Cricetulus griseus: one gene and its partners. The protein of the gene in region 2 binds, or shares a complex with, the protein of the main gene of each other region. Links are inferred from orthologs where the notes say so. Each region holds a gene or a part of one and is shown on either strand. Other genes may lie near its edges.

Region 1 (4,091 bases), on a different chromosome or scaffold from region 2:
TTGTCTTTTTGCATGTGTGGAACATATGGTCACTTTGTTACTATTTATTGATGTAATCTATGGGCTGTCTCTTCACTTCCAGGCCGTCACTCAAAGGGGGTAGCAAAGACAGTAACAAAGCAAAGAGTGGAGTCCCATTTTGACCTTGAGCTTAGGGCAGCTGTGATGCACGATATTCTGGACATGATGCCTGAAGGCATCAAACAGAATAAGGCCCGAACAATTCTGCAGCACCTCAGTGAAGCCTGGCGCTGCTGGAAGGCCAACATTCCCTGGAAGGTAGGCTTTCCTCTGCCTCCAAGAAGACATAGCCATTCATCTTCCTGAGGTTAGGATTAGAGTACCTTTAGAGGGCCTTCCACCTTCTATTACCCCAACCCCTCCTTTCTTGAGGTGGTTTCACTGTGTTGTCCTGGCTGACCTGTAACTCTGCAGGCCAGGGTGCTCTCAAATTCAAGAGATCTGTCTGCCTTTATGCTGGGACATGGGCGTGAAACTTACTTTTTCATTGTGTTTGTATTTTCAGGTCCCAGGCCTGCCAACACCTATAGAGAATATGATTCTTCGGTATGTTAAGGCCAAGGCTGATTGGTGGACCAATACTGCTCACTACAACCGTGAACGAATCCGCCGTGGGGCCACTGTAGACAAGACTGTTTGCAAAAAGAACCTGGGCCGCCTCACCCGCCTGTACCTGAAGGCAGAACAGGAACGGCAGCACAATTACCTGAAGGTTGGACCAGCTGGGCTGGGTGGTAAAGTGGGTTGCAGAGTGGAGATCATGCTTTGTATTGGTTTGGATGATAGTGGGAGACTAGCTTCATTCATGTTCACCTTGCAGGATGGGCCTTACATTACAGCAGAAGAAGCAGTGGCTGTGTATACTACCACTGTGCATTGGTTGGAAAGCCGTAGATTCTCTCCCATCCCATTCCCTCCACTCTCCTACAAGCATGACACCAAGTTGCTCATCCTAGCTCTGGAACGCCTCAAGGAAGCTTATAGGTAAGGAATGACTGGGAGGGTAATAGGGAATGGCATTGTGGCCCGAGTCCAAAGAAAGGTGTAGTCCTTTTGCAACTTCTTGGGTTTTCTCATTCACCTTTCCTTTGCTTTGTTAGTGTGAAGTCTAGGTTAAACCAGTCTCAGAGGGAAGAGCTGGGTCTGATCGAGCAAGCCTATGACAACCCCCATGAGGCTTTGTCCCGCATCAAGCGTCACCTCCTCACGCAGAGAGCCTTTAAGGAAGTGAGTGATGCTCCCTGAGCCTTTTGGTCTGTGCTATTTATCCTTGGCATCTAGAGGATGCCAGGCTGGCTGGTGAATTGATGTGAACCAGGTTTCTTGTCCCACAGGTAGGCATTGAGTTTATGGATCTCTATAGCCACCTGGTGCCAGTGTATGACGTGGAGCCCCTGGAGAAAATAACTGATGCCTACCTGGACCAATACCTGTGGTATGAAGCAGATAAGCGCCGTCTTTTCCCACCCTGGATCAAGCCTGCCGACACGGAGCCGCCTCCACTGCTCGTTTACAAGTGGTGCCAAGGTAAACTTCGCTGCAGTTCCCACCCAGCAGAGAAAGGTGATTCTGTCCATGTAAAAACTCTGACCCAGGCTGCACATTCAGTTTGCTCTCTTTGCGTGGTAAGAATGAGTGCTATTGCCTGGCACTGGTGGCACACACCTACAATCCCAGCTTACAGGAGGCTGAGGCAGGCAGATTGATGAGATCAAGGCCAGCCTGGTCTACAAAGCAAGTTCCAGGACAGCCAGAGCTATACAGAGAAACCCTGTCTTGAGAGGGGGAAAAATGAATAGTGTGGATGTTGAGCAAAACTGACACTTGTAGCAGCCAGAATGAATGAATGGTAGAGGGTTTTGGAATGTGTTGAGACTGCTATAGTTAGTTACTAAACCTGGAAAGGAATTTCTAATCTGCTAAACTCTTGTCTTTTTGCTTCTTTTAGGCATCAATAACCTGCAGGATGTGTGGGAGACCAGTGAGGGCGAGTGCAATGTCATGTTGGAGTCCCGCTTTGAGAAGATGTATGAAAAGATTGACTTGACCCTGCTTAATAGGCTGCTGCGACTCATTGTGGACCACAACATAGCTGACTACATGACAGCCAAGAACAATGTTGTCATTAACTATAAGGTCTGTCTTGGAGCAAGTAGCAAAATGTGTCAGGGGGTTTGTCTGACCCATCGAGTTAGGATTTGCTGAGGCAGAGTGAAGGAGATTGGACCCTGAAGCACCTGGGACAGAGCCAGTCTTAGCCATACTAAGAGTTGTGCGTTTTTGTTTTTGTTTTTTTTTCCTAGGACATGAACCATACAAACTCATATGGGATCATCAGAGGCCTGCAGTTTGCCTCTTTCATTGTACAGTACTATGGCTTGGTGATGGATTTGCTTGTATTGGGATTGCACCGGGCCAGTGAGATGGCTGGGCCTCCTCAGATGCCAAACGACTTTCTCAGTTTCCAGGACATAGCCACTGAGGCTGCTCACCCAATCCGACTCTTCTGTAGATACATTGATCGCATTCATATTTTCTTCAGGTAAAGAACATGGTCTGATCCTTTAACCTGCATGTCCTCACAGCACTGAGGCATGTCCTGCCTGTGAAATGGCTCTTGTAGCTTAGTTGACTAGTTGCTGAGTTGAAGCTATGAAGTGAAATGAAGTCTAGAGTAGCATAGGGTCCCCACTTGTGGAGCTGGCATTCTCAAAGTGTCCCCTGTCTTAATGTAGGTTCACAGCAGATGAAGCTCGGGATCTGATCCAGCGTTACCTGACGGAGCATCCAGACCCCAATAATGAAAACATTGTTGGCTACAATAACAAGAAATGCTGGCCCCGAGATGCCCGAATGCGCCTCATGAAGCATGATGTCAACTTGTGAGTCTCAGTTGGGCTTGTAGGAGTAGAAAGAATGCCAGTCCTAGGGACCCAGAAAGCAATTAAAATTGAGGAGGTTATATCTTGGGTAGGAGGAATATGGGCCTATCTTCTGTCTGGTCTATGAATGCAAGTGTCTTCAACAGACTGAAATTCTTATTTGTTCTCTGTGGACAGGGGTCGGGCAGTGTTCTGGGACATCAAAAACCGGCTGCCACGATCAGTGACTACAGTACAATGGGAGAATAGCTTTGTGTCTGTGTACAGTAAAGACAACCCCAACCTGCTGTTCAACATGTGTGGCTTTGAGTGCCGCATCCTGCCTAAGTGCCGTACCAGCTATGAAGAATTCACCCACAAGGATGGGGTCTGGAACCTTCAGAATGAGGTACAGTCTAGGAAGGACATCACTTTACCACCCTTGTAACTCTGGCATCAATGGGGTGAAAAACAGTCACACCTTTTCATTATCAGCTCAGTGACCCTTAGGTGGGTTGAGCTTAGTAGTGATCACGATTAATCCTTGCTTGTGTAGCCCTGGCTGGAATTTACTTTGTAGACCAGACTGGCCCTGATTGTCTCAGAGATCAGCCTGCCTCTGGCTCCACCTCCCACAGGTTAGGATTAAGGCATGTGCCACCATTCCCTGCTATTCCCTTTTTATTTTTTCTTTGAGACAGGTCTTACTGTTCAGTGATGGCTGACCTGGAATTTTATATAGACCAGATTGGCCATGAATTCACCAAGATCCTCCCTGGAATCTGCATTCTGGGATTAAATGCATGCATACCATGTTAGCTTTTCATCTTATTTATTGCCTTGTTATTTTTGTGGAGTTTGGAGGACAGCTTGTAGTTAGTTCCACTCTGTGGGTTCTGGGGATTGAACTCAGGAAATAGGGCTTGGTAGCAAGCACGTTTGCCTGCTATAAACCATGTCATCAGCCCATCTAGAGCCTCTGATTTTGTGGTTTAGGTTACCAAGGAGCGGACAGCGCAATGTTTCCTGCGTGTGGACGATGAGTCGATGCAACGCTTCCATAACCGAGTTCGTCAGATTCTAATGGCCTCTGGCTCCACCACCTTTACCAAGGTATGTTGGGCCCTAAGGCTCCAATTCTCTGCCATTCTCTGTCTGTCTTTGTCCTTTTCAACTCCTGCTGTGGTTTGAGGTTGCTCTTTCCCAGCT
Region 2 (4,658 bases):
TATCAAATCTGTCAGGTTTTTTGCTGTTGTTTTGAGACATGGTGTCAAAGTCCAGGCTTGCCTTGAATTTGTGGTGATTCCCCTGCTTCAGTTTTCCTGAGTGCTGGGATTGTAGCTGTGTACTACCCTGCCTGACTCTGCCCCAGCTTATAAACAGAAAATACTATGCAGAGGTGTTTGGAGGATGCCTTCATTTCTAAAGGACTGGGGACCAGGAAGGAGACAGGGGCACCTGCAGGAGCCATCACAATCCCAGAGATACACTAGTGAAGTGGTCAGTGCTCACCTGCTGCTGGGGTTTGCTCTACACAGCCTACTGATCTTTATGCAATGTGCTTAGGCTCTGGGTCAACCTAATGAAGACTCATCATCTTGATGTGGGCAGTATTATGGGCTAAATTATGTCCCTGCAAAAATTAGGACACAATGAAGTCCTAATTCCCAGTACCTCAGTTTACACACTCTAAAGTAAATCAAAGTGAGCATTCATCTGTTATCACCGATTCTGGAGGGAACAGGGGGCAAGGGCAGCACAAAGCTCACACACAAGACACACTGCTTTCCAAGATTTAACCTGATAATGTACTAAGATTTGTGTCTTTGCATCACATGGGCTGCACTTCTGAGAATACCATAATCTAGTCAGACAAATTCCTGTTATAGTTGGGCTGTTTGAAGCCCACCTCGGTAAGTTTCATTAATTAGAGCAGCATACTAAATATATTAATAGTCACTATCCAAATTCTTTCATTCTACTCCCAAAACTAAATGCCCTAAAACAGACAAATACATCTTTTTTGTTTTGTTTATCGAGACAGGGCTTCTCTGTGAAACAGTTCTGGCTCTCCTGGAACTCAGAAATCCACCTGCCCCTGCCTCCTAGTCTTGGGATTAAACGTGTGCACCACCATGCTCAGCCTTCAGCTTCCTTTCTTATTCCAGAAACAACTGCCTAGAAGTGGCTTAGCCCTTAATAAGCTGGGCACTTACCCATCAATCACTAATCAAGTAAATGCCCCACAGAATTGCCTATAGGATAGGCATTTTCACAACTGAGGTTCCCCTTTCTAAGGTGACTCTCACTTGCACCAAGTTGACAAAAAAACTAAGCAGCACAATTACAGTAGTTTAAATGAAAAGTATCCTCCACAGTTGCAGGCATTTGCACACTTGGCCCCCATGTGTTGGTGGGTTGTTTTGGGGGGGGTGGGATGAGGGGATGCAGCCTTGCTGAAGGAAGAATGTCACTGGAGGCAGGCTTTCAGATTAATACCCTCCAACACTTCCAGGTAGCTCTCATTACTTCAAGCTTTCTATTGAAGATGTAAGCACTCAGCGTCCTGCTATTACCATTTCTCCCCTCCACGATGGACTCATTCCTTTGTAATTGCAAGCCTAAAAAAACCCCTTCTAATGGTGTGTTATCACAGCCACAGGAAATAACTAATGCAAACCCTAAAAGGCAATAGTCAGGCCACCTGACCCACAGGTGTGATTCTAAATAATGTACTTTCCCTCTCCAACCTTTACTTTTCTCATGTGGAATACAGTTAACAGGCACCAGTTATTGCACGCAAAGCACTGAGCTGGCCACTGTGAACACACAGCCATCTGAACTCTCTATGACAACTCCAAGGTATGTGTATTAGACCTGGAGCAGTCAGAGATATTACCTTTCACCCACAGTTCCTTCACAGGTGCAAAGCAAGGTACCTGGCAGTTCATGTTGTCCTCTGCTTCAATGAGCTTCCCTCGATACACCTCGCCAGTGTTGGTCTCACAAGTTACGATGTGGCCCTCAGCCTCGTGCAAGACTTTAATCGGCACACCGATAGACATCTTGGCAGGAGTGTTCCTGTGGAAGAGAGAGACAACAGCTGTCTTTCAGAGCTTAAGAAGGACTGGCATACCATACCCTTTGCAAATATGTCAGAGCTGCATTTTCTTTCTTTCTTTCTTTCTTTTTTTTTTTTTATTCTGAGACAGCGTTTCTCTATGGCTTTGGAGGCTGTCCTGGAACTAGCTCTTGTAGACCAGGATGGCCTCAAACTCACAGAGATCCGCCTGCCTCTGCCTCACGAGTGCTGGGATTAAAGGTGTGAGCCACCACCACCGCCCGGCCTAAGCTGCATTTTCTGTGGAAGGAGTCTGACTCTTGGTTTGAAGGAACCACCATGGCAAGGACACACTGCCTTCGAGCTGGGAAGGATGGCAAGCAAGCTGGACAGAAGAGGCTGGTGGGAATGAAGAGTGCCTCTTATCTATTCCCAAACACATGACCCTTTATAGTCACCCAAGAACTATGATATGGACCTCAAAAGCAATCACTGCTTACCTGTAGCTATTCAACTGAAATATAAATTAAAAAGCCCCTCCCCTCCCAGTCACACTAGTAATATTCCAAGTGCTCAGCAGACATAGACCCTGATAAGATAGCAAGGCGTTCACAAAGTGACAGGAAATGCTCACAGGAGCACCATCAGGGTCGACGCTCGATTTAAGCCTCAGTAAAAGACGGAGGCTAAGCGCAACTGTGATGAGCGTTCCCACCTATGTCCATGAGAAGGCTATAAGGATGCTGGGCGCTGTCTCTCTTGGTGAGGAACCACGGCTTTCAACTTAAGGAGTGTGAGTTTTATGCTGAAAACGGTGGAGGGGGGGGGACACAAAAGGGTCATTGCCAAAGGCTCAGTAGAAAACAAAAAGGAATAATAGCAGCATCTGCAGGATAGCTCGAACATGGCCCTTCTGCAGCACAGCGACTCGCTAAGACTCGTGCAGCAGTCGTGGAAGGCAGGGGAGGGCCAGCGCCGGAATCCGAGGGGAGCAGGGATGCAGAGGACGCTGAAAAGGAGGGCACACAGGGAAAGGGGGTATTTCGTGAGAAACGACTGCGGGCGAGCTCCGAAAATCGGCGAGCCGGAAAGGCACAGAACGCGCAGACAGGCGTAAACGAGGAGCTGCTCCAAGCGCGGGTGAGACGGTGTTTGGATCGGCCCAGGCTTCCCGCCCGCCATTAGTGCCCCGCTGAGCTCCTCCGCAGGCTCCCTTCCTGCCCCTAACCCTCCGGGGACGCCTAGGCCTCCTCTTACCGGTTCTCCGCCTCTCCTCACCGGCTCCCTTTCGGCCCTGGCACAAACGTTACACGGCGAAGGCGTGAAGCGAGGGAATGGCGGGCCCGGGGTACCCAGAATACCACGCGTTCCCAGGATACCGCGCGCAGGGCCCCTCCTCTTCCTTTCCCCAGCGGCGAGAGCGCTCTGACGTATGCTTCCTCCTTAACTCCGCCGGCTCGGAAAACGACGGCTCTGGCATTATCGTTCCGGCCCTGGAGAGGACCCGGGGGGCCGCCGGAAGCATCCGTCCTCGAGCCCCAAAAGGAACATGGAGACCCCCCCCCCACTTACAAAGTACTCCAGGGACGGATTGGGCGGGAGCTAGGCTGGAGCCCCAAAATTGCTGTGGTGCCACAGGAAGTGAGGCTTGGACTAGGAATCTAAGCTTTGGATCTGGTCGCCATCAGGTAAGCGGCGCACCGAGCGTGGGAAACTGGCATTTTTCATCGTGTGGCTAAGACCGAAAGGGAGGCAGAGGAGGATTCCCGGGGCGTTTCGATGAGGCAGGCACTGCGAGGGGCCGGCGCTAACACCCGGGGCTGCAAAGGAGCAAGCCGAGCGGAGGGGGTTTGGGAGGAGCCAACGTCGCTATGGAAGGGCCTGGGGGCGGGGCCCGGGAGGGGCGGGGCTTCCGCAGAAGGCGGGCCCTGCGGGTCGCTCTTTATGGGAGAGAAGTGGGTGGGCGAGGAGGCGTGGCCTAGGGGAGGGGCGGGTCTCCAGGCCGGGGACCTGGCAGGGACGAGGCGGGGCTTGAGGCGGCCTAGCCCCCGCCCACCCGGCTCTGAACCGCGGAGGCGGCGGCGGCGGCGGGCGGCGGTGGCGGCGGCGGCGGGAGGAGGAGGAGGAGGAGGAGGAGAGGCGGCGGCGGAACTCTCCCCACACTGGCCGCGCTCGCTGCCCAGCACAAGTCGCAGCTGCGATCAGCTCCAGGCCGGGGCCATGGGCGCCCTGCGCCACCCGGGTCATGAGGACGGAGGCAGAGGCAGCGGGGCAGCCGCTCGAGCCCGGTCAGTGCCTCTCAGAGGGCCTTGCCCTCACCGGGGAAACCGAGGGGGACTCCGCCCTGGAGCTGGGCAGGGTCTGGCCGCGCGACCTTGGGCCGCAGGCGGCCTCAGCCCAGACTGGAGCTTCCAGTGGACCTTAGCTAGGTGGATGGATATTCCTTCTCGTCTCCCGTCCTCCGCTTCTGGTTGTTTCTCGGGGAGTTCTGAGAGCAGTCAAGTGCAAAAGTCCGAGGGGGCAAAGGCACTGCCTTCCCCAGAAACGAATGGTCCTGCTTGAACCCCGTTGCGTGATGCTGTTCCTAGGGGGAACTGTGGAAGGCCTGGGGCTGTGAAGGGGGAAAGAACGGCCTGAGATCCCTCAGCAAAGGGAAGGGCCTTTTTTTTTTTTTTTTTTTTTTTTTTTTAATCTGGCTTCCCAAACGCAGCGCTTTTGTCTTAGTACTCTTCTCTCTCTGGTTCCCTCCGCCCCGAGGAAACCCGAACCCCTTTGCTTGCTCAAGAAGTGGGGAAAGTTGGAAGTCATGGTGGAGCTCTGCTT
Region 3 (4,091 bases), on a different chromosome or scaffold from region 2:
TTTTTCTTTGCTTGGCTCAGTAATATTAGAGGTACTGATGTTTGCTTACGTATTCACCTACTAACGAACATGTGGGATCTTTTGTTGATCCTCATTGTACTGGGTGGTTTTGTGTGTCAACTTGACATAAGCCAGAATCATAGAGGAAGGAGCCTCAGTTGAGGAAATGCCTCCTTGGGATCCAGGTGTAAGACATTTTCTCACTTAGTGATCAATGGGGAAGGGCTCAGCCCATGATGTTATCCCTGGGCTGTTGGCCCTGGGTTCTATAGGCGGGCTTAGCAAGACATGGGAAGCAAGCCAGTAAACATCGCCCCTCCATAGCCCTCTGCATCAGCTCCTGCTTCAGGGATCCTGGCCTGTTTTGAGTTCCTGTCCTGTCCTGACTTCCTTCAGTGATAAACAGCAATGCTAAAGTGTAAGTCGAATAAATCCTTTCCTATCCAACTTGCTTTTTGGTCATGATGTTTCATCATAGCAATAGAAACCTCAATTAAGCCGGGCGGTGGTGGCACATGCCTTTAATCCCAGCATCGGGAGGCAGAGACAGGCAGACCCCTGAGAGTTCGAGGTCCGCCTCATCTACAAAGCTACACAGAAAAACCCTGTCTCAAAAAACAAAAACAAACAAACAAACAAAAAACCTCAATTAAGACACTCATGAAGCCATACTTACTTGAATCTTGGCGGCTCCATTGGATCTTTCTGCATTTCTACCATCCGAATAACCCTCTGTTTAGCTCCAGAGTTGAATGCTACTCCTTGCTGAGATGGTGTGTAGCTAAATAGATGAAAATTAAAGGTGTAATTAGTTCAAGCTTTTGGTAGGCATTTATCTTCTATTATAGTTCCACATGACTATACTTTCAATTCTTTTCAGGAAGTACTGACATAAAATCACCATACATTTAGGCAGGGCAGTCAGAAGCAGACCAGAAAAGAAACAGAAGTGAAATCAAACAAAATATGCACTTAAGTGGTTATTGACTTCCCTCTTCATCCTTTCCACATTCCACCTGGGAAATACACCTGTCCAGCTTCCCCAGGTCTAAAACTAACACCTGCTTTTAAGTCTACATTATAGAATAAAATTGCCAGGGCTGAGAGATGGCTCAGCAGTTAAGAGCACTGGCTGCTCTTCCAAAGTTCAATTCCCAGAACCCACATGGCTGCTCACCACTGCCTGCAACTTCAGTTCCTGCAACTCTTCCTCTGGCCTCGTTGGGCACTGGGCATGCAGGCAAAACATACATACATATATAATAACAATAAATAAATGAGTAAAAGTTTTTTAAAGAAAGGAAAATAGTTACAATAGTATGCCCACTGGCAACATGCAATGTATGCTGTAAAAACTGCAGCAGCAGCCCTAACTCAAAATTTTCCCTTAACATCTAGTTCCAATCATTCTTCACAAAGACAGTCCAGTAAAGGCCCTCAACATTTAGCAGCATTATAAAAGTTTATTAAATATAATCAAAAACTATAAACAATTGTCGTTTGGGTCATATACCATAGGTAACAATTATTTTCTAAAAAACTGAAAATCAAGGCGGTGGTAGAGCAGGCCTTTAGTCCCAGCACTCAGAAGGCAGAGGCAGGTTGATCTCTGTGAGTTCGAGGCCTGCCTCCCGAGTGCTGGGACCGTTAACATCTTAATGTAGGGATTAAAAAAAAAACTTCTGGGGACTGAGAGATGGCTCAGTGGTTTGGGAGGTCCTGAGTTCCCAGCACCCACATGGTGGCTCAGGACCATTTTTATGGAATTCAATGTCACCTTGTGTCTGATTCCCTTTCCTGTCCTGTAGGCATACATGCAAACAGAGCACTCTACACTAAATAAATAAACCTGAAAATTAAAAACAAACACACAAAAAAAGCCTTTTGCAAACTAGAGTTGATAGGCTTCAAAGGTCATTAAGACAATGCATTTGAACTGGCTTTGTAAGCTGGTGAGTCTTCAAAATCCCACCTAGGGAGTCTGACATGCAACTAACACTTCCAGCAGGGTGCATACCGGATATACTGAGCAGGAGCCAGCTTGTCAGCTGCACGAACAGGCATGGCTGCAGCAACCTTCTGCGACACAGACTTCTCCAAGGCTACTCTTGTCTTCTCTGTTATCTGAGATGAGAAGCAGCACGGTGAGCAGTTGGAAATTAATAAGGACACAAAGTCATCTAAAATAATCACATACACCAACCCCTAGTTACCTCTTTAATAGCCTCTTCATCAGGCCTTTGCAGGTCTGGATCATCTGCATTCATAACCTCCTTTGGAACCAGGTCAGTGTACTTGCTGTAAATGACCTAAAAGTGTTCAAACACAAGCAGCTTAGGAACACACAGGGTGGAGGGAAGCAGCCTCATTAAGTCGCTGTACATGTCAACATGTCCTTTCAGCATATTTACGCATTTAGGATACTCAGTTTTGTCGTTCAGATTTTAAAACTAAAGGAGCTTAAAATATGTACACAAATTGCTGCCCTGGCTCCAAGATGATCACTTTCCCTTGACCCCATGCATTTAAATTATTTGAAATCTTCTAATCAAGTCAGTATCCAAATACATTCTGCCAACAAAATCTTATGCATCAGTGATCTCTATTTTTGAGGCTCACTAGGACTTGAAATTAATGATGATATAAATTGCCTATAGCACCATTATCCTGGATTAAAAACTCATCAGAAATTTAAGTCCGGTTACTAAATAATTTCCAAATTCACTGGGCCTAGAAAATTCCATTGCCCTCATCCTATTTATAATGTTTCTGTTTTCTGGAATCAATTCTATTCACAAATTAGGAAAGTGAAAATGAACAAAAAGAAAAAACCCAGAATATTTTCTTCTACAAGAGTCAGAAAAAACAAAAATATATTTATATATGTGTTCTAGTTTCATTTCTGTCTGTTATAGCCTAACCAAAAGAAAATCAGGGAGGAAAGGGTTTATTTGGCTTATAATTCCAAGTTAGAGTCTATTATTGAGAGACGTCAAGGCAGGAACTCAAGCGTCTAGTCACATTATATCCAGTCAAGTGCAGGGAGAAATCAATGACTCTGCCGCTTGCTCTCATTTAGTTTTCGCCTGACTCACATAGTGGGGAACCCATCTGCCTAAGGGATAGTGGTGCCGACAATGGGCTGTCTTCTTTTATCAGTCATCAAGACAATCCCTTACAGACATGCCCACAGGCCAACCTAATTTAGACAAGTACTCAACTGAAGCTCCCTTCCCAGTGATTCAGGTTGTAGCAAATTGACAATCAAAATTAATCACCCCAATACGTAAATTGCATCAGGACCAACACCTTCCTTTTACCTTTTAGGCTGATGCTGGTGTAATGCGCTTTTGAAACAGATCATTTACTTGCCTGCTATCTATACTTCCCAAGTACCTCCATTAAAATGTACATGGCAGACTTTAAAGAAAAAAAAAAAAAAACGATACTAGAAATTTTAACCAATAGTTTAGATTTTAATACTTTTATTAGAAATTCTTTGGCACACATACATACCAAGAACAACTTATGGGGCAGGAGAGATGGCTCAGCAGTTAAAAACATTTTCTGTTCTTACAAAGGACCATGGTTCAGTTCCCAGAACCCACGAGGTGGCTCGACAGTCTGTAACTTTGGTTCCAGGGGATCTAACACTTTCTTCTATTATTTTTTATTTTTATTCTATTATTTTTTTTTTCTTCTGGCCTTCAAGGGCACCAGGCACATGCGTCCCTCATATACACATAATATATATACAGGCAAACACATTTTATATGCATAAAATGAAAACAAAGTTGGGCGTGGTGGCACATGCCTTTAAACCTCAGCACTTGGGAGGCACAAATCTCTGTGAGTCTAAGGCCAGCTTGGTCTACACTGGGAGTTCATGCCTGTAAGGGCTACCTAAGGGAGAGATCCTGTTCCCCCTCACTGTAACAATACCTAAACAATAAAAGCAAATCTTTTAAAAAAGGGCAATTTATGCAACTTATGAATAGGAAACAAAATTCCTGGTGCCTATGATCTTCAATTTTTTTTCTTCAGAAGCCAACTTATTTACTAAAAGCTAAAATCAAAACCTACCATAGCAG
Region 4 (4,091 bases), on a different chromosome or scaffold from region 2:
GCATTAACTAAAATCACGCCTTGCCAGTCCTGTCTTTTCCTTTAGTAATTAAATGTTAGTACTTAAGACAATGCAATTCAAAACCATAAACATTAAATGCTTTTGGAGAGAAGTGTTCTAATAGCATGGGGGGGGGGAGGATATGGAAGCACCACAGAGTCTGTGGGGAACACTCTGTTTCTCACTGTCCCAAGTCACTACACCTAAGACCCATCTTCCAATCTAACCATTGCCCATCCATTTTGCCAATCCTCCCAGTAAGGTCAAGTTCACCTACCTTCTTTTGTCCTGCACCTGTCCCATGGCTACAAAGCTGGACTTTCAATGTCCCTACTCTAATTCTTTCTCCACACTACTATTTTCTAAATTTATATTCCTCCACTTAAAATCAAAGGTTTTTCATTCTCCCAGTTTATAAAACACTCACAATTGTAAGAGAGCAAATAAGATACTGGATGGTCCAGTTTCCTCCCATCTCATTTGTAAGAGAGCAAATAAGACACTGGATGGTCTAGTTTCCTCCCATCTCATTTGTCCCCTACTCCTCAAACACAGTGAGATTCTTCACCCTGCTTCTCTACCTTGGTATTTCTGTTTTCTGATCAATTCTTCTACCCTTCATCAATACCACGTCCTCCTTAAAACCTCACCTGTCCATCCATGGTCTCAACTAGTATAATTGTTAATGCAATTATAAACTAAGTAATTTGTTAAGATATCACCTGTCTCCTAAGTTTATGAGAGTTACCCATCGGTCATGCACACAGGGTACACGAGACCTCGGACTCTGTAATTAATGCTTAGGCACTTGTGTGTAAGCTTCCTACAATTTAATTCAAATCTGTTCACACTTAATTACTTTGCCACTGACCAAAACACACATACACTTAATTTTTACAACCGGAGAACTCTTAGAAAAAAGTGAAATTTGTATTTACCCAGCTCCTCTTCTGTTGTTTCTGGAAAACCGATCTTTGGCTTTGCCAGTTCAGCACTGTCTTCTTCTGTGAAGAGAAAAGCAGTGACGACTGACTAGGAAGCACAACAGGGTTGGTTCCTCGAACTCACATAGGGCAATTCCTCTTTTAAAACTCACACAGGGCAATTCCTCTTTTAAAAGTTACTGTGATTCCAAAACAGACATCTCAGAGTCACTTTCAAGTACTACAGCCACACTGGGATTAGTAGTAAGTGTTTGAATTTTTGTTTCTGGGATGAAAAACATGTTTTCAGTGGGAAGGATCAAGTAATTTAATACTAAAAGGGAACTGGATAGATACTTGTAAATTCTTCATACTGTCTTCTAACAATTGTTATTCTATTTTTGTGTGTATCTGAGCCAGTAACCACTGGGCTATCTCCCTAGTCTCTTTGTAATAAATTATGAGTTAAGTTCATTCAATTCATCACATAAAGGAGATTGCTCAATTAGAACATGGCTTCACTATGCTTATACCACATTACATAATTCAAAATCTAAGGGAAACAAGGCAGAATGAAGCAGAATTTAAAAATGACACAAATCTATGCATTATAATTTGATAACTTTGACTAAACGTCCTTACCAGGAAGCACGCATTTCCAAAGGCCATAGGTTTTTCCTACCACAGTTTGCCACAATCTCAATGTCCCATCTTCAGAACCACTGGCATAGAGCTCACCATCAGGACTGAATCTCACACAGTGAATGGGACCAAAGTGACCTTTGTAGGACTCTGAAAAAGGTAGGAACAGAGCTATCAGATCTCAACAGAAAGCTAATTACTAGGCTAAGTATTGATTTACTAAAAGAGCACTGTCTATGTTCCTGGGAGACCATCTCACCACTTCCTTAGAATTAGCCCTTTCCAATCAGTATGTCAGAGACTGACTGTCTTTGAAAACAGAATAAGGTTTCCACTCCCAGAGAGAATTGAGGAGCTGTCAATAAGGACTAAGGTCTGCAGAGACTGGAGCTGAAGTCTGCCAACTCCATCCTGGGTTCTAGGTCCTGAATTCATCAATTGTTTTTAGAGGAACCAATTTCTTCCATGCCTGGTGAGAGCCACCAGGTGGAGCTCTTTTACATACTCTATCTTAACTCCCTAACCAGGCTTTCTAATTCTAATATAAGCCTGAGACACAGACTCAATCCTGACCCCTACATTTATTTTAATGTAAGAAATTTTATGAGAAAATGTATAGGTTGGGAAGGTTTCCTATCTCAATAAAACACTTTCGAACATCTCCCATATATAAACTAATGCCCCATCATTTTACTCTGGCATTTCCTCCATCTCAGACTAGCCAGAGATTAAAAGCGTGTAAAAACATAGGGGCTTAGGTAGAATACTTTCTATCATACACATAGAATACTTTCAATCCTCAGCCTGAGCTCCACCCAACCCAACCCAACCCCCCCAAACTGCCAAAATAAACCAAAGTTGTTTGAACAGAGACTGAGAAGAGAATGGCTGGGTCCAAAATGCACAGCTGTCCATTTCTTCCTCCACTTAGCACAGCCTGGGTTTCATTGCTGCCAGCCGAGTACCTCCTCCACCCCAACCCAGCCACAGCTCTCTAGAGCTGAGAAAAATGGAACATGTGACTGAAATATTCCAAAACTGACTAAAGCAACCCCAATCTACCAGTTTCCCCCAAGAAACAAACAAAGCTACTTCCTGTTCTTTATGTACAAATCTAGACAGCTTAGTTCTTCAGTGGAAACCAGAATAGTTTAATAAAGATAAGTGGCAGTTTATAAACAAAAAATAAGATTTTCAAACAAAAAGCAAATTAGACTTGGTAAATAGGCATAAAAGTCAGTACTAAAAAATCTTGCTCTTTCAAACTATCTGGCATACTATTACATACATTATAAAGTTAGGAAGTATTTCTTCAAATTAACATACATCAACCATTCTACTTCTTAAGAACTATTATGGCCAGCGGCAGTGGCACATGCCTTTAATCCCAGCACTCGGGAGGCAGAGGGAGAAAGGCAGATCTCTGTGAGTTCAAGGCCATATAGAGTGAGTGCCAGGACAGGCTCCAAAGCTACAGAGAAAATCCTGTCTCAAAACAAAAACAAACAAACAAACAAAAAAAAACAAATATCCTTGTGCGTGTTTAATATTTGACTTAAAACAGATACTCCCTCTCCCAATAGTCTGGAAAAAAAAAAATCACTGTGCTATAGTACAGAACATCAGCACAAAGAACAGTCAAAACCGAGTTCGGTATATTTTGCCTGTGAGTCTATAAATTTCTACAAAAATGGAAAAAACACCTTCATTTTTGAATATATGAGTTTTAATTAGCTGTAAAACTTACTTTCAGCACACTATAGGTCAGTATCTGAGGTACTCATTACTAGAAGTTAATATTTTGATAAAGTAATCTTTTAAGACAATGGTTTTCAACCTTCCTAATGCTGCAACCCTGCAATACAGCTCATGCTGTGGTGACCCCCCAACCATAAAATTTATTTTTGTTGCTACTTCAAAACTCTAGTTTTGCTACAGTTATAAATTGGAAGAATCTGTTTTCTGATGTTCTTAGGCGATGCCTGTGAAAAGGCCATTTGACAAAACCAGGAGTTGGACCAAGGCATTGAGAACCACTGATTTAAGGGACAAAAAAAAAAAAAAAAAAAAAAAAAGGAAAGAAAAAAAGACTTACCTAATTCTTCTCCACTGTTATAATCATACTTATAGAGTTTAAAGTCTTCTCCACCTGCAACAAGAAATTCCTTCTCAGGATGAAGAGATGCGGAATTGATGGTTGCAGGAGCTTCAAATGATTTAATTGGCTCCAGACTGGGAAGAAAAACCACAGAAACATAAATGCCTACAAAAATTTTAATACTATATAAATATCTACCCACATTAAAATTATTCCTAAATTCTGAAATGCAAGGAATAGTAGTTAAATATTCATCAATCAAGTGTAAATGAAGTGTTAAAAAATCAACATGAACAAAAATGTTCAAGATTGTCATATGCAAGTAGTCTTCACCTGAGGAACAGTTAGTGGGAATCCATAGGCTAAGCAGTGGACAGTTCCTGACTGACTTCAGTGACTTGCTAACAGACTCTATTAGGGACCTTTTA
Region 5 (4,161 bases), on a different chromosome or scaffold from region 2:
CCCTGAAGAGGGTCAGAGGCTTCTTAAAGCAGTTTCAGACCAGGCTGCAATAGGAGAGCCCTTTAGGCTACAGCTTTACAAATAGGTAATGAGGCCAGAAAATCAAGCTCTCCCCCCTCACACACCTGTGGGGAGAACATGAGAGCCCTTTACCCCAGTACCCAGGGGCATGCAAACTCAGAAAAATTAAAAGCCTAGCAGCCCTCCTCACCAACTTCTACTTTGCTAGAATTGGAGAGCAAGGTTTTCTGGATTAAGGAAGAGATTCCTTAGCAGCTAACATTCCCCTTTAAGTTTCTCCCTTCAAAAGCAAGTGAGCAAACAAGAGCACCTAGCTGAATGGCCATCCCACTCTTGGCCCGCCCATCCATCCAGTCCATCCCAGTTCCTTCTCCCTCCCAACAGCCCTCTCCTTACTTGATCTTCCTGAATTCATCACAGTCACAGAGGATCAAATTCATATGCTTGTCAAAAGCTTTGAAGGTCCCGATGAAGATCCGGCCATCTTGCAGGATGCACCTCATCCTGTAGTCAATGTGCTGCAGCATCTTGCTGCTCTTACCCACAGTCTGCAAGGAGAGAGCAGGGAGCAGTGAGGACTCACTCACACACTTCTGCTCTTACCCACAGTCTGCAAGGAGGGAGCAGGGAGGACTCACTCACACACTTCTGCTCTTACCCACAGTCTGCAAAGAGGGAGCAGGGAGGACTCGCTCACACACTTCTGCTCCCCGCCCCCATCTTCCACCACAGCCTACTTTTCTATTCCCAACCTTCTCAACAATTTCCTGACATCTTCCAAACAAGGTCCTTTTCTGAGACTCTTATCAACCAGCTTTAGCCTTGATTTCTGCCCATTAATGTGCTATTTTCCCTGCCCTTAAAACAGGCAATCTCCCTGGGACTACAACTTTGTCTATGTTGTATCTGTCTCAGGAGAGTTAAAGTGTTCACAAACTAATCAAATCCACCCATACTAGACCTAGTGGGCATTAAGCCATCCACCACTATATAGACTCAGTTCTACGAACAACTAAATCCATCTAAACTAAGAACTGGAATTCAACAGGCACTAAGTGGATTCACTTAATTAAGGAAAAGCTTATTACCAGAAAGTGAAACCAGCTCTGAAGCAAGAACAGGAGTAGGGTAACTTGGGCAACTTTTCTGGGCCAGAGTGCTAATTAGTTTGGATACTTAATAGTCTAATATATATATATAATATAATAGTCTAATTTTTAATTAAGGCAAACAACATTCTCTATCCTGGTTCCCAATGTAACTTTGCAAAAATAAAGGCGCTTATACACACCCCTAGGTGAACAGAGGTATCTGTGGTAGTCTCTCTCAGAAACGTATCAGTTACCCACAACTATAACTGGCATTATGTCACTTTTAACTACCCAAGTTGTCTTCTCTGTACCAGGAACGCTGTTCACCCCTGTGAGCATTACCCAGCCCTAACCTGAAAACCAGATTTTGTATTTTTTTCTGCTTAAATAATCATCTCAAAGAGCTCTGTTACTAGGATCGGCGTATATCGGTCCAATAGCTAATATTTAATAGCTATGTATGGCTAGGCCCTTGAAAAGGATTTATCTCCTTTAATCCTCAAAACTGGGTCCACTGTCATTCCTTTTTACTGACCAAATAGACGACCCAAGCTGAAGGTTAAGTAAGGACTTGTCTCAGTCAACTCTCAAAAACAATAACCTATTTTCGCTACCTCGGGTTTCTTCAGCTACTTAACTAGACTAATATTTTTGGAGACATTCGAGGCATTTGTTACATTTGCTCTGTAGCCAAAACTGGCTTCAAAATTCAAGCTCCTCTGCCTACTATGCACAGAAATTACAAATTTCGAGCACTGGCCACTTTTCCCGGCTGACCTTTCTAAACCTAAGTCCATGAAGCCTGTGAAAACTCTTCCAGCGATGTCTTACTACCAAGAGGGAAAACAAGATGCAGGGACTTCAGCAACCAGGTTCCTGACAATTCGTTGCCTTCTACTGGGCCCTCTCGGTTCTCCAGATTTCTAACCCTCCCTCGTACAGGGGAGCGGGGCGCTCCTAAACAATCACTTGGGCGTCTGCTCTGGACCCGTCCCGCCCCTCCCCCTGCCGTTACTTTTTTGCCTAAAGCCGAACTGCCATAGAGAATCACATTAGCCCTGCACAGAGCCAGAAACTGAACCAACGCACAACTTATTTCAGGGTGCAGCCCCAGCGCCTGACATACCCCAACATAAAAATACGCGTAGCAGGGTCGCGCTCTGCATGCAAACACTCTCCTCCACCCTCCCGCTCCCTCCGCCTCTCCTCCGTCCGGCCCGGTGTCCCCCGGTCGGCCGGAGGCTCGCGTCCGCTCCGGGAGCCCGGGCACACAGCGACCCGGCACACGTTTCCAGCTACCGAGGCCGCGGAACTGTAACCGCAGAGGCGCCGGGCCACGCACGGCGGCCTCGGTCCCCGGTGCAGCCTTCCCCTCCACCCGGGCCCAGCCGCTCCGCAAGTCCAGGCCTTTGGCGCCCGGATTAAGCGGCTTCGACCCCGACCTTGTCGGCCACGGGCGGCTTCAACCCACGGCCGCCGCCAGCCACCGCCCCACTCCGCACCCCTGAGCGCCCCGCGGCCAGCCCGCGCCTTCTTACCATGGTGGCGGCTCCGATGTCTCAGATGCCCGCCGGATTCGCTTCCACAGAGGCCTAGTCGCCAGCCAGCAGCGCGATTCCCGCCGCCGCTAACGGAAATGCAGCCCGCAAAGTGCCGCCCCTCGTGAGGCTACTTCCGGCTCGGCCTCCGCCCCGGAGTTCCGGGCCCTGGTAGCAGTTTAGGGCGTGGAAAGGTGTTGACTGCGGCCGGTTTGTTTGGGGTTTTGTTTTTGTTTTGATTTTTTTGGTGTGTGTGGTTTTGGTTTTTTTTTTTTTTCTTCGTTTTAATTTTATCGAGCTCTCCCTCTCGTTTTGTTTTGTTTTAGAGACTGTGTCGCCCAGGCTGGTCTTAAGCTCCGATCCTCCTACCTATAGCATCCTTAGTACCGACGCGGGCGTACACCATCATATTTGGTAATAAACATCAAACTGAACGCCCTTGAAAGCATTGGATCCTCGTTGGACACACACCTTCCCAACTTAGTCTCCGCGAGGGTGGCGTGTTTCTCTCCCCGGAACCCCTCCCCTACTCCAGTTCTTGAACCCAGCGCTCTCGTGAACTCACTCACAGAACTCACTCTTACTGATTTTCCCCTAAGGCTTGAAATGTTCTTTCATCTGTACCTTTGCATTTGCTTTTGTCTCGCCCTTTCCTCTTCATGTTTAGACTGAAATAACACTGTCCTGGTGAGGACTTCCCTGATCGTCCTTTCTCTTTATAGATAGGTAGGTAGGTAGATAGATAGATAGATAGATAGATAGATAGATAGATAGATAGATAGATAGATAAGAAACGAGTCCTTCCCATTTTTTGTCTTTAATATTGATTGCTATCTGACATGCTAAGCGGTAGTCCCCTCATTGTTGGAGGGGTTACCTTCCAAGACTCCCAGTACCTTCTCCGAGTCACAGTACCAAACCCTGAATATGCTGTATTTTTTCTACATATGTATACTTCAGTGAACTTGTGCTTTTCCACTTAAAGAAAGCATATTTGGGTACCTTTGAATTGCCGGCATCACTAATTAAGTGCTTTAGGACTATTAACAAAACAAGGACCACCTGAACACAAACACTGCAACGCAGGTCAGTTGATCTGATGATCCCTCTAGCTACCGAGAGGGTAGCGTATGCAGTGTGGAAACCTACACAAAGGGAAGATTTGTGGTTAGGGCAAAAATATGGTATTTCCTCATGCTAGTCACAATGGTGCATGACTTAGAACATTAAATGCTTAGTTCTAGAATTTTCCATTTAATATTTTCAGACCTATAGACTGGGATAAGAGATGATTACTGTCTATATTCTTAAGTTATTTTATTACCCCATTAGAATGTAAGCTCCACTAGAGTATAGTGTTTTATTTGCTTAGATCACTGCTTAGCATAAAGGCTCAATAATTATTTGCTGAATGAATTAATCTTATTCTGCTCAGTGACTTCTAACTGTTGTTTATATGCCCAGGAGTTTGTAATTTATTCCTCTAACCTTGTTTTTGTTTTTTGGTTTTT
Region 6 (4,091 bases), about 33 Mb from region 2:
CACACACACACACACACACACACACATACACACATATATACACATACTCACATGCATACATATACACATACATATATACACACACATCGATACACACATATACATACATAAATACACACACACACACACTCACATACATACACACATATACACACATGCATACATATATACACATACATGCATACATACACCGATACACACATATACATACATAAATACACACACACACACACACACACACACACACTCACATCCATACACACACACACACACACACACACACACAGACTCACATACATACACACATATACACGCATGCATACATATATACACATACATGCATACATACACACATACATATATACACACACATCCATACACATATACATTCATAAATACACACACACATACATATACACACACACTCACATATACACACATATATACACATACTCACATGCATACATATACACATACATACACACATACATATATACACACACATACATACACACATATACATTCATAAATACACACACACACACACACTCACATACATACACACATATACACACATGCATACATATATACACATACATGCATACATACACACATACATATATACACACACATCGATACACACATATACATACATAAATACGCACACACACACACTCACATATACACACATACATATACACATACATACACACATACATATATACACACACAGGCATACACACACACACAGGCATACACACACACACATACACACACATACATACACACATACACACACATACACATACACACACACACACATACACACACACACATACACACACATACATACACACATACACACACATACACACACATACATACACACATACACACATACACACACACACACTTTTTTTTTTTTCAAATGTAAAAAAGCCAACAGGGCAGGGAAGTCCGGCAGCCAGGACAGGAACACGTTGTCAGTATCTCTGGGTCAGTCAGAACAGCTATTCTCACCAGAAGAAGCGGAAGTTCGAGCACGCCTTAAAGGAAACACCGCTTGGCCAGGTGGCTGTTGCTGAGACCCACAAGACTGAGGCCAGCTCATGTTACATAGTGAGTCCCAGGCCTGCCTGGGCTGTAGAATGAAACCGTGTCTCAAAACACTAAAGAGATCTGGTGGGTTGAGTATGTCGGCCGTGGGAAGAACGAGATTGAAGGAAACAAGAGTCTCTGAGGGGCATAGGCAGCAGGAGTGAGGTGGTGGCATCCACCCCCCCCACCCCCACCCCACCCCCGCGTGTACCTGTAGCTTGCAAGGTCGGGTTCAGAGAGGAACTCCCGTAGCAGCATCCCATCCGTCATGTAGCGGAGAACGGTTCGCTCTGATGTGCAGTCCTCAAAGCGGATGCTGTAGCCAACCTGGCCAGAGACAGGTAGGAGGTAAGATTGACCAGCGCCCAGACCTGAGATGTGGGACCGTGAAAGAGGCTTCCCTCTCCTGAATCCCCAAAGAACTTACCTCATTCCCAAGCTTCACACCCATCTCCCGGGCCACTCTGGCAGCCACGCTCATGGCCGCCACTCTTCGGGGCTGGGTACAAGCAATCTTCATACCCTTCTTTGTGTAGCCCTAGAAAGAGAGGAGAGAGAGGTGTTCCTCTGCCAGGCATCCTGGGGCGAGCCAGGCAGGGCAGGAAAAGAGAACGGAAAAGAACAGACTGAGATTAGAAACGAGGGCCCCCAGGGGACGCCGGGCCAGCCCTGCAGACCTGCGCTTACAGTCAGGGCTCTGCCAGACTTGAACTGACCAGGGACAGACTGGCTGGGGCAACAGCCAGAAGCCAGGGGAGACGGGAGGTCAGAGAGTAAGGAAAACAAGCGTTTTCATTCTTGGTTCTCTCGCCCCTGAAAGGGGAAGGCAGGGTAGAGGTCACACGGGGCTGAAGCATGTCAGGTTCAGATTCATGCTCTTCATCTCTCGCTGCTTGCAGGGCAGACCCGTACGTCCTCACTCACACCCGGCACGGTGTGACAGCATCGAGAACAGAACGGCAGGGAACCTGATCTGACTGTGTCTGAAAAGCCTCGGGACTTGCGCGACGGACAGGACAGGCCAGGCCAGGCCAGGCCAGACCAGGGCAAGACAGGACAGGACAGGACAGGACAGGACAGGCCAGGCCAGGCCAGACCAGGGCAAGACAGGACAGGACAGGACAGGACAGGACAGGACAGGGCAAGACAGGACAGGACAGGACAGGCCAGACCAGGGCAAGACAGGACAGGACAGGCCAGGCCAGACCAGGGCAAGACAGGACACGACAGGACAGGCCAGACCAGGGCAAGACAGGACAGGACAGGACAGGACAGGCCAGACCAGGGCAAGACAGGACAGGACAGGATAGGACAGGACAGGACAGGACAGGACAGGACAGGACAGGGCAAGACAGGACAGGACAGGACAGGCCAGACCAGGGCAAGACAGGCCAGGCCAGGCCAGACCAGGACAGGCCAGGCCAGGCCAGGCCAGGCCAGACCAGGGCAAGACAGGACAGGACAGGACAGGCCAGACCAGGGCAAGACAGGCCAGGCCAGGCCAGGCCAGGCCAGACCAGGACAGGACAGGACAGGACAGGACAGGGCAAGACAGGCCAGGACAGGACTCTTGCAACCCCTCCACACACACGGGTCTGCCAAGGCTGACTCAAGGTCCGGGCCGCAGCGGGCACGGTGTGATGGCTGACCTCCTCGAAGAGGTACTGCGGGATCTGTGTGGTCTTCCCGGAGCCGGTCTCGCCTTCGATGATGAGGACTTGGTGGCTGGCGATGGCGGCCAGGAGCTCCTCTCGGAAGGGGAACACGGGCAGGCTGCGGCGGACAGCCTGGATGGACTCCTTCTGCTGGGCCTGGGCTGATGGGGGTGGAACTGACGACGGCTCCTGAGGAGGAGGAGGAGGAGGAAGGGGATGGAGAATGGGGCCCCTGCCCTTTTCAGAGTGTCCGTCCGTCCCGTCCCGTCCCCCCCCACAGACGTCCCAGACTCTTGCTGGCACACACCTCGTCTCCCTGCAGCTGAGCGGCTCGGACGAACTCGATGGTCTCGTCCTCCTCCAGCACCAGCTGGTACTTGGGCTCCTGGGCGGCGGCGTCCCTGGCCCCGAACTTGAGGGATGCAGCACCTAGCCGGGCCTCCTCCCAGCGCCGCTGCTCCTCTCCTGGGGCGCCCGATTCCTCCTCCACGACGTCCACAGCTCGAGCTGGCTGCGGAGAGAGGCAAGGCTGCGGGGCCTGGCGAAGGGTGGTCCTAGCTGTCCCCTCGCTCCCTCCGCCTGCTGTGCCCCACCCGTGAGCAGGGGGAGGCGGCGCCCCTCACCTGTCCCCGAGTCTCCTTGGGCATATGGTACCGGTTGGTGGCCTCCAGCTTCTCCTGCTCGCCGGCCGCCCGGTACTCCCGGGCCAGGTCCCGCACTCGACGCTTGTACTTGAGCTCCCTGCGCTCGTGCCGGCTCAGCTCCACGTCCCCAAACAGGACCTCCTCATCCGCCAGCTCTGCCTCCAGGTCCTCCAGCTTCTCCCGCTCGCGCTTTGCCAGGTACTCGCGGCGAGACTTCTTGCGAAGCTCGGGGACCTGGGCCAGGAAGGACAGTCACAACCTCACCCTACCAGGGAAGCAACACAGTTCCCCACTCGAGAGATGCTGGCTGCCTACGGGACAGCAGAAGCCGAGCTGTGACTCGACCCCCCGGAGTCAGGAGGGTTTGTAACTTTTCCTGGTGGTTCCTGTCAGTCAGCCCCCCCCTGCGCTACGGACTGAGCAACCACCCCACAGTCACCACACTCTCTCCCCAGCCCTTCCCGCCATGGCCAACCGCTCCATCAATCTTTCTTTTGTCGACATTTATTATGTATGCAGTGTTCTGCCTGCATGTGTCCCTGCAGGCCAGAAAGAGGGCACCAGATCTCATTACAGGTGGTTGTGAGCCACCTTGTTTTGGTGGGAATTGAACTCAGGCCCTCTGGAGGACCAGCTTGATCTCTAAGCCATCTCTCTCCAGCCCTGGATCTTGCTTCTTGAACCCGGGGTCTCA
Region 7 (4,091 bases), on a different chromosome or scaffold from region 2:
TCTTAATTGTAATTGCTCACAAAGAAAGTGAATTGTAACAGAATGAAGCAGCCACATGTCCTTTCTATTAATTACCTTTTGTTTTCTTTAAAAACATTTATTTAACTATGTGTTATGTGTCTATGTGGGGGTATGTACATATGCACGAAGACGCCATGGAGGCCAGAAGATGGCATCAGATTGCTTAGCAGTGGTGGGCTGCTGGACTCTTGAAGAGCAGTGCACACTCTTAAGGGCAGAGCAATCTCTGCAGCCCCTACTTTTTTCTTTGATGTCTTACTAGTTTCTGGTTTCTTACTGAGTCACATTGAGTGCCTTCTTGAATGGAGAATTTACAGCACCATTCACAGTTGTTTAAGAATTACCAATTCCTGCCATCAACCATTCCAGAATGGCAGAACCTCTAGATACCTCTCCTCATCCTAGCACAGCATGGCACTGGAAAGAGCTAGTCTCCAATTTCTTCACATTTTACCTCTTCTTTTGACTTCTTAGATTTCTCATCATCTTTTTTTGTCTTTTTTAAGGCATCAGTTCCAACCACTGAGAGAATATTTCTTAACCTGTAACAAAAAAACGTCAGAAATCAATATGGATGAAATAAGACTGTTAAAAGGTTCAGTAGGACCCCATCACCACTTGTGAGAGAGATGTGTCAAGATCCCTGCACAAGAATGCCTACAACTGCAGGGAGCAATGAACCTTACCTATACTGTGTGTCTTTCCCAGCTCACATATTATGATAAAGTTTAATTCATAAATTAGGCAAGGTAAAATGCTAGTAACAAAAAACCAGATTTTTAAAATTATATGAACAGGGTCTGTTTTCTTTCTCACTCTCAAAATATCTTATTCTACTGCACACTAATGGAAAGGCAGCATAGACAGCAAGGACACAGAAGACAAAGGGACACAGCTGGATGGTGTGGGATTTCAGTACATCACTCAGAATGGTGTGCAATTTAAAATTCATCAAGTGTTTACTTCTGGCATTTGCCTAGTCAGTATTTCGGGGCCTCATATGATTATGGATGAGAGAAACCAAGGAAAAAAGCAAGACCACAAGCAAAGGGGAAGGCTGTGTACCCTTTATTCTTCCCTCTCAGACCCCCTCCACTCCTCTTTATTTGAAGGCTTTCTAAATGCTGCTATCAGCAATTATTCTCTTCCATTTAGAGTCAACTGGTATCTATACACAGCTGTCACTTAGTCTCTAAGGACAGCTGGAATCCACTTAGTGCCATGCTGAGCAAGGCACTAATTCAGGGGCTAAGTATATTTAATGACTAAGAATAGTTGCAAGCTGTGCATGGTGATGCACTCGAGAGGCAGAGGCAGGTGGATCTCTGAGTTCCAGGCCAGTGTGGTCTATAGAGTGAGTTCTAGGACAGCTAGGGCTAGATAGAACAATCTTGTCTTGAAGAACAGGTGGGGAAAAATAATTCTGAAGGAACTAGCCTTGAAGGCACACACCTTTAACCCCAGCATTTGGAGGTAGAGGTAGGTGGCTTGTCCTGAGTTCTAGGCTAGCCTGGTCTACAAAGTGAGTTCCAGGCCAGTCAGTGCCACAGGTTGAGATCCTGTTTCAATAAAATAAAAATTAAAAGCCAGGTGTGGTGGTGAGCTCCAGCCAGCCAAGGCTATATAGTGAGTCCCTGACTGAAAACAACAATAACAAAACTAAAACTAAAGAATAATTCTGAAGAGACTACAGAACACAGTCCATTATACCAGCATTAGACAGCAGTGAGCAGAATGTGAAATAATATGGAAGAAGTATGGAATCTAGGCTTGGGAGGAGTGTGGAGCAGGTATCAGGGAAGGCTTTACAGAAAAGGCGTTGTCAAGTGCTCATTCAGGCCAAAGAGTCAAAACAGAAAAATGACAGTTGAGGCAGAGGGTTAAAGAAATGTAAAGTCAGGAAAACAGACTGAGCTTAGACCCACAAATGGTTCAGTAGAGCTGGAATATGGGATACAGGAGGAGGCTTGGTGACTGCCAAAACTGGTATTCAAGTGGGGGCTGGGTCACCAGAGCAATTCACACTACACATAGGAGGGTCTGCAATGAGAGTGATATGGCAACAGGTGGGAGAGTGAGAGTGTCATGGCAACAGGTGGGAGAGTGAGAGTGCCATGGCAACAGGCAGGAGAAGAAGAATAAAGGCAGAAAACCAGACTTTAGGATCACAGCAAGCCCAAGCCACTGAGGTGGCCTGAGTTAAAGTAGTGGCAGTTGGGACTCAAGGCATTCATCTTGATAAAGGACAACAGACATGGCAGATGAAAGAGACAAACAGTAAATTAAATATACCGAGTCAGGCTGGTGAGGTGGATCAGCAGGTAAAATGCCTACTGCCAAGCCTGCTGACTTGAGACAGAACACTGTGACACATAGTGAGAGAGAACCAACTCTCACAAGTTGTTCTGTGACCTCCACTCCTGTATGAAGGCATGTACATGTCCACACACACACAAATAAATAGGATTTTAAAACGTATCCTTTAAAGAATGCTTCCTGCTCTTCCAGAGGACCCAAGTTCAGTTCCCAGAATCCACACCAGGCAGCTCACAAGTGCCTCTAACTCTAGCTCCAGGGGATGACACCCTCTTCTGGACTCCCAGGGTACCAGAACTCATGTGCACAATACTACACACAGATGCACACGGATTTACATAATCAAAAATACATCTTAGAAAACAACAAACCCCCAGCATTTCAAACAAACTTCACAGGAGAGCAGGAAAGGGTTTGATAGAACACATACCAGAACCTTGTCATTAACAAAAAAAGTGTAACTATAAAGGATACCTTTCTCTTCGTTCAGCAGGGCCTTCTCCAAAAAGTGTGATAGGTTCTCCCAAGGCTCGAAGGCAAGCCTTGACCTCTGAGTCATCCGTGGAAACATTGATTTGCCGGGCTCTCTTTCTTCTTTCAAACTCTGCCAAGACTTCTGCCTGCCGCTCACTGATGTGCTCCTCAATTTCAAATACTTCCCCTATGCAAAGGACAGGCAACATGGGGGAAAGAAACAATCAGTCTCTGTATCCTAGAATATAGCTTCTTATATTGGATAGAGTGCCATAAGGTATGTAACTGTGGGGCTGTTGAAGAATTCAGCAATATTGAAGGGTTTCTGAAGATGCAGTGACCAACAATTAATCCAAAATCAAATTCAAAACAAATCAGGGTTGCTTTTGGCAGGGCCTGTGGGCCTCATCATGAATCTTTGCTGCAACCTTGGTTTTGAGCATGTGCAACTCTGCAATGTACTTACAGTCTGTCATGCCATGCGACACTAAGGAACACTACCTCAAAAGCCTGTTATGAATTGTAATATCCCTTTTTTGGCTTTTTTGAGACAGGGTTTCTCTGTGTAGCCTTGGCTGTCCTGAAACTCACTTTGTAGACTAGACTGGCTTCGAATTCACAGAGATCCGCCTGAGTGCTGGGATTAAAGGTGTGAGCCTGGCCAAATTTCCACATTTTTACAAAGTTTGCTTTTATAGAGACATGATTCAGCTACGGGAAAAAAAAGATTTAATTTCCTCAGCATCAAGTATCAAATAGTTTTATCTCTCACTTATACTGTATTAAAATGTTTGATTATTTAAAATTGTTGCTTGGCCAAAACAGAAAAGAAGGATGGTGAAGAGCTCAGTGTGGCAGTGCATGCCTATAATATCTGCACATGGGAGGAGGCAAGAAGACCAGGAGATCAATGTCAGACTTGGCTACACAGTGACTTTCAGGACAACATGGGCCATACAGACCTTGTCAGAAAGAAAGGAAGGGCCAACAACAAAAAAAAACTCACTATCTGAGTTGCTGATTTAAATAAATAAATGAATGAATGAATGAATGAATGAATGTACCATGAAAAACATTTAAAATGCTCCATGTCTTGCAATATTAAATATTCAGGCAAGATTTAATTCTTTATTAATAAATATGTCTGAAGTGTAAATCCAATTAATCTTAATCAATAAAACCCAGGAGCCAGATAGTGGGGTAAAAGCTGGAAGATCAGAGAACTAGCAGTCCCCTTCCTCTGTCCAAAAGGGCTCAGATCTTGTCTCTACTCCACCTTA

Evidence for each region.
Region 1: Snrpd3 (region 2) and Prpf8 share a complex: the UniProt entries of both Homo sapiens proteins name them as parts of the U4/U6-U5 tri-snRNP complex. The link is inferred for Cricetulus griseus from reciprocal best matches to the Homo sapiens genes SNRPD3 and PRPF8.
Region 3: Snrpd3 (region 2) and Snw1 share a complex: the UniProt entries of both Homo sapiens proteins name them as parts of the minor spliceosome. The link is inferred for Cricetulus griseus from reciprocal best matches to the Homo sapiens genes SNRPD3 and SNW1.
Region 4: Snrpd3 (region 2) and Strap share a complex: the UniProt entries of both Homo sapiens proteins name them as parts of the SMN-Sm complex. The link is inferred for Cricetulus griseus from reciprocal best matches to the Homo sapiens genes SNRPD3 and STRAP.
Region 5: Snrpd3 (region 2) and Snrpb share a complex: the UniProt entries of both Homo sapiens proteins name them as parts of the U7 snRNP complex. The link is inferred for Cricetulus griseus from reciprocal best matches to the Homo sapiens genes SNRPD3 and SNRPB.
Region 6: Snrpd3 (region 2) and Dhx16 share a complex: the UniProt entries of both Homo sapiens proteins name them as parts of the minor spliceosome. The link is inferred for Cricetulus griseus from reciprocal best matches to the Homo sapiens genes SNRPD3 and DHX16.
Region 7: Snrpd3 (region 2) and Prpf4 share a complex: the UniProt entries of both Homo sapiens proteins name them as parts of the U4/U6-U5 tri-snRNP complex. The link is inferred for Cricetulus griseus from reciprocal best matches to the Homo sapiens genes SNRPD3 and PRPF4.

The regions. Positions count from the first base shown.
Region 1 is NC_048600.1:88,942,832-88,946,922, forward strand, and holds part of Prpf8 (pre-mRNA-processing-splicing factor 8), read left to right. Parts: intron 1-82; coding exon 83-279; intron 280-526; coding exon 527-733; intron 734-841; coding exon 842-1,005; intron 1,006-1,121; coding exon 1,122-1,248; intron 1,249-1,355; coding exon 1,356-1,548; intron 1,549-1,969; coding exon 1,970-2,157; intron 2,158-2,324; coding exon 2,325-2,563; intron 2,564-2,756; coding exon 2,757-2,903; intron 2,904-3,080; coding exon 3,081-3,291; intron 3,292-3,878; coding exon 3,879-3,995; intron 3,996-4,091. UniProt on the Homo sapiens protein: Plays a role in pre-mRNA splicing as core component of precatalytic, catalytic and postcatalytic spliceosomal complexes, both of the predominant U2-type spliceosome and the minor U12-type spliceosome.
Region 2 is NW_023276806.1:263,062,933-263,067,590, forward strand, and holds the start of Snrpd3 (small nuclear ribonucleoprotein Sm D3), read right to left. Parts: upstream 3,247-4,658; 5' UTR 3,093-3,246; intron 1,856-3,092; 5' UTR 1,840-1,855; coding exon 1,714-1,839; intron 1-1,713. Other genes in the region: protein GUCD1, read left to right, coding at 4,081-4,123. UniProt on the Homo sapiens protein: Plays a role in pre-mRNA splicing as a core component of the spliceosomal U1, U2, U4 and U5 small nuclear ribonucleoproteins (snRNPs), the building blocks of the spliceosome.
Region 3 is NC_048598.1:116,338,828-116,342,918, reverse strand, and holds part of Snw1 (SNW domain-containing protein 1), read right to left. Parts: intron 2,310-4,091; coding exon 2,214-2,309; intron 2,125-2,213; coding exon 2,018-2,124; intron 782-2,017; coding exon 677-781; intron 1-676. UniProt on the Homo sapiens protein: Involved in pre-mRNA splicing as component of the spliceosome. As a component of the minor spliceosome, involved in the splicing of U12-type introns in pre-mRNAs.
Region 4 is NC_048601.1:11,282,165-11,286,255, forward strand, and holds part of Strap (serine-threonine kinase receptor-associated protein), read right to left. Parts: intron 3,798-4,091; coding exon 3,661-3,797; intron 1,716-3,660; coding exon 1,566-1,715; intron 1,005-1,565; coding exon 939-1,004; intron 1-938. UniProt on the Homo sapiens protein: The SMN complex catalyzes the assembly of small nuclear ribonucleoproteins (snRNPs), the building blocks of the spliceosome, and thereby plays an important role in the splicing of cellular pre-mRNAs.
Region 5 is NC_048599.1:48,439,450-48,443,610, reverse strand, and holds the start of Snrpb (small nuclear ribonucleoprotein-associated proteins B and B'), read right to left. Parts: upstream 2,801-4,161; 5' UTR 2,654-2,800; coding exon 2,651-2,653; intron 570-2,650; coding exon 418-569; intron 1-417. UniProt on the Homo sapiens protein: Plays a role in pre-mRNA splicing as a core component of the spliceosomal U1, U2, U4 and U5 small nuclear ribonucleoproteins (snRNPs), the building blocks of the spliceosome.
Region 6 is NW_023276806.1:229,786,749-229,790,839, reverse strand, and holds part of Dhx16 (pre-mRNA-splicing factor ATP-dependent RNA helicase DHX16), read right to left. Parts: intron 3,632-4,091; coding exon 3,377-3,631; intron 3,265-3,376; coding exon 3,061-3,264; intron 2,943-3,060; coding exon 2,748-2,942; intron 1,637-2,747; coding exon 1,526-1,636; intron 1,426-1,525; coding exon 1,310-1,425; intron 1-1,309. UniProt on the Homo sapiens protein: Required for pre-mRNA splicing as a component of the spliceosome. Contributes to pre-mRNA splicing after spliceosome formation and prior to the first transesterification reaction.
Region 7 is NC_048595.1:83,456,768-83,460,858, forward strand, and holds part of Prpf4 (U4/U6 small nuclear ribonucleoprotein Prp4), read right to left. Parts: intron 2,999-4,091; coding exon 2,812-2,998; intron 564-2,811; coding exon 476-563; intron 1-475. UniProt on the Homo sapiens protein: Plays a role in pre-mRNA splicing as component of the U4/U6-U5 tri-snRNP complex that is involved in spliceosome assembly, and as component of the precatalytic spliceosome (spliceosome B complex).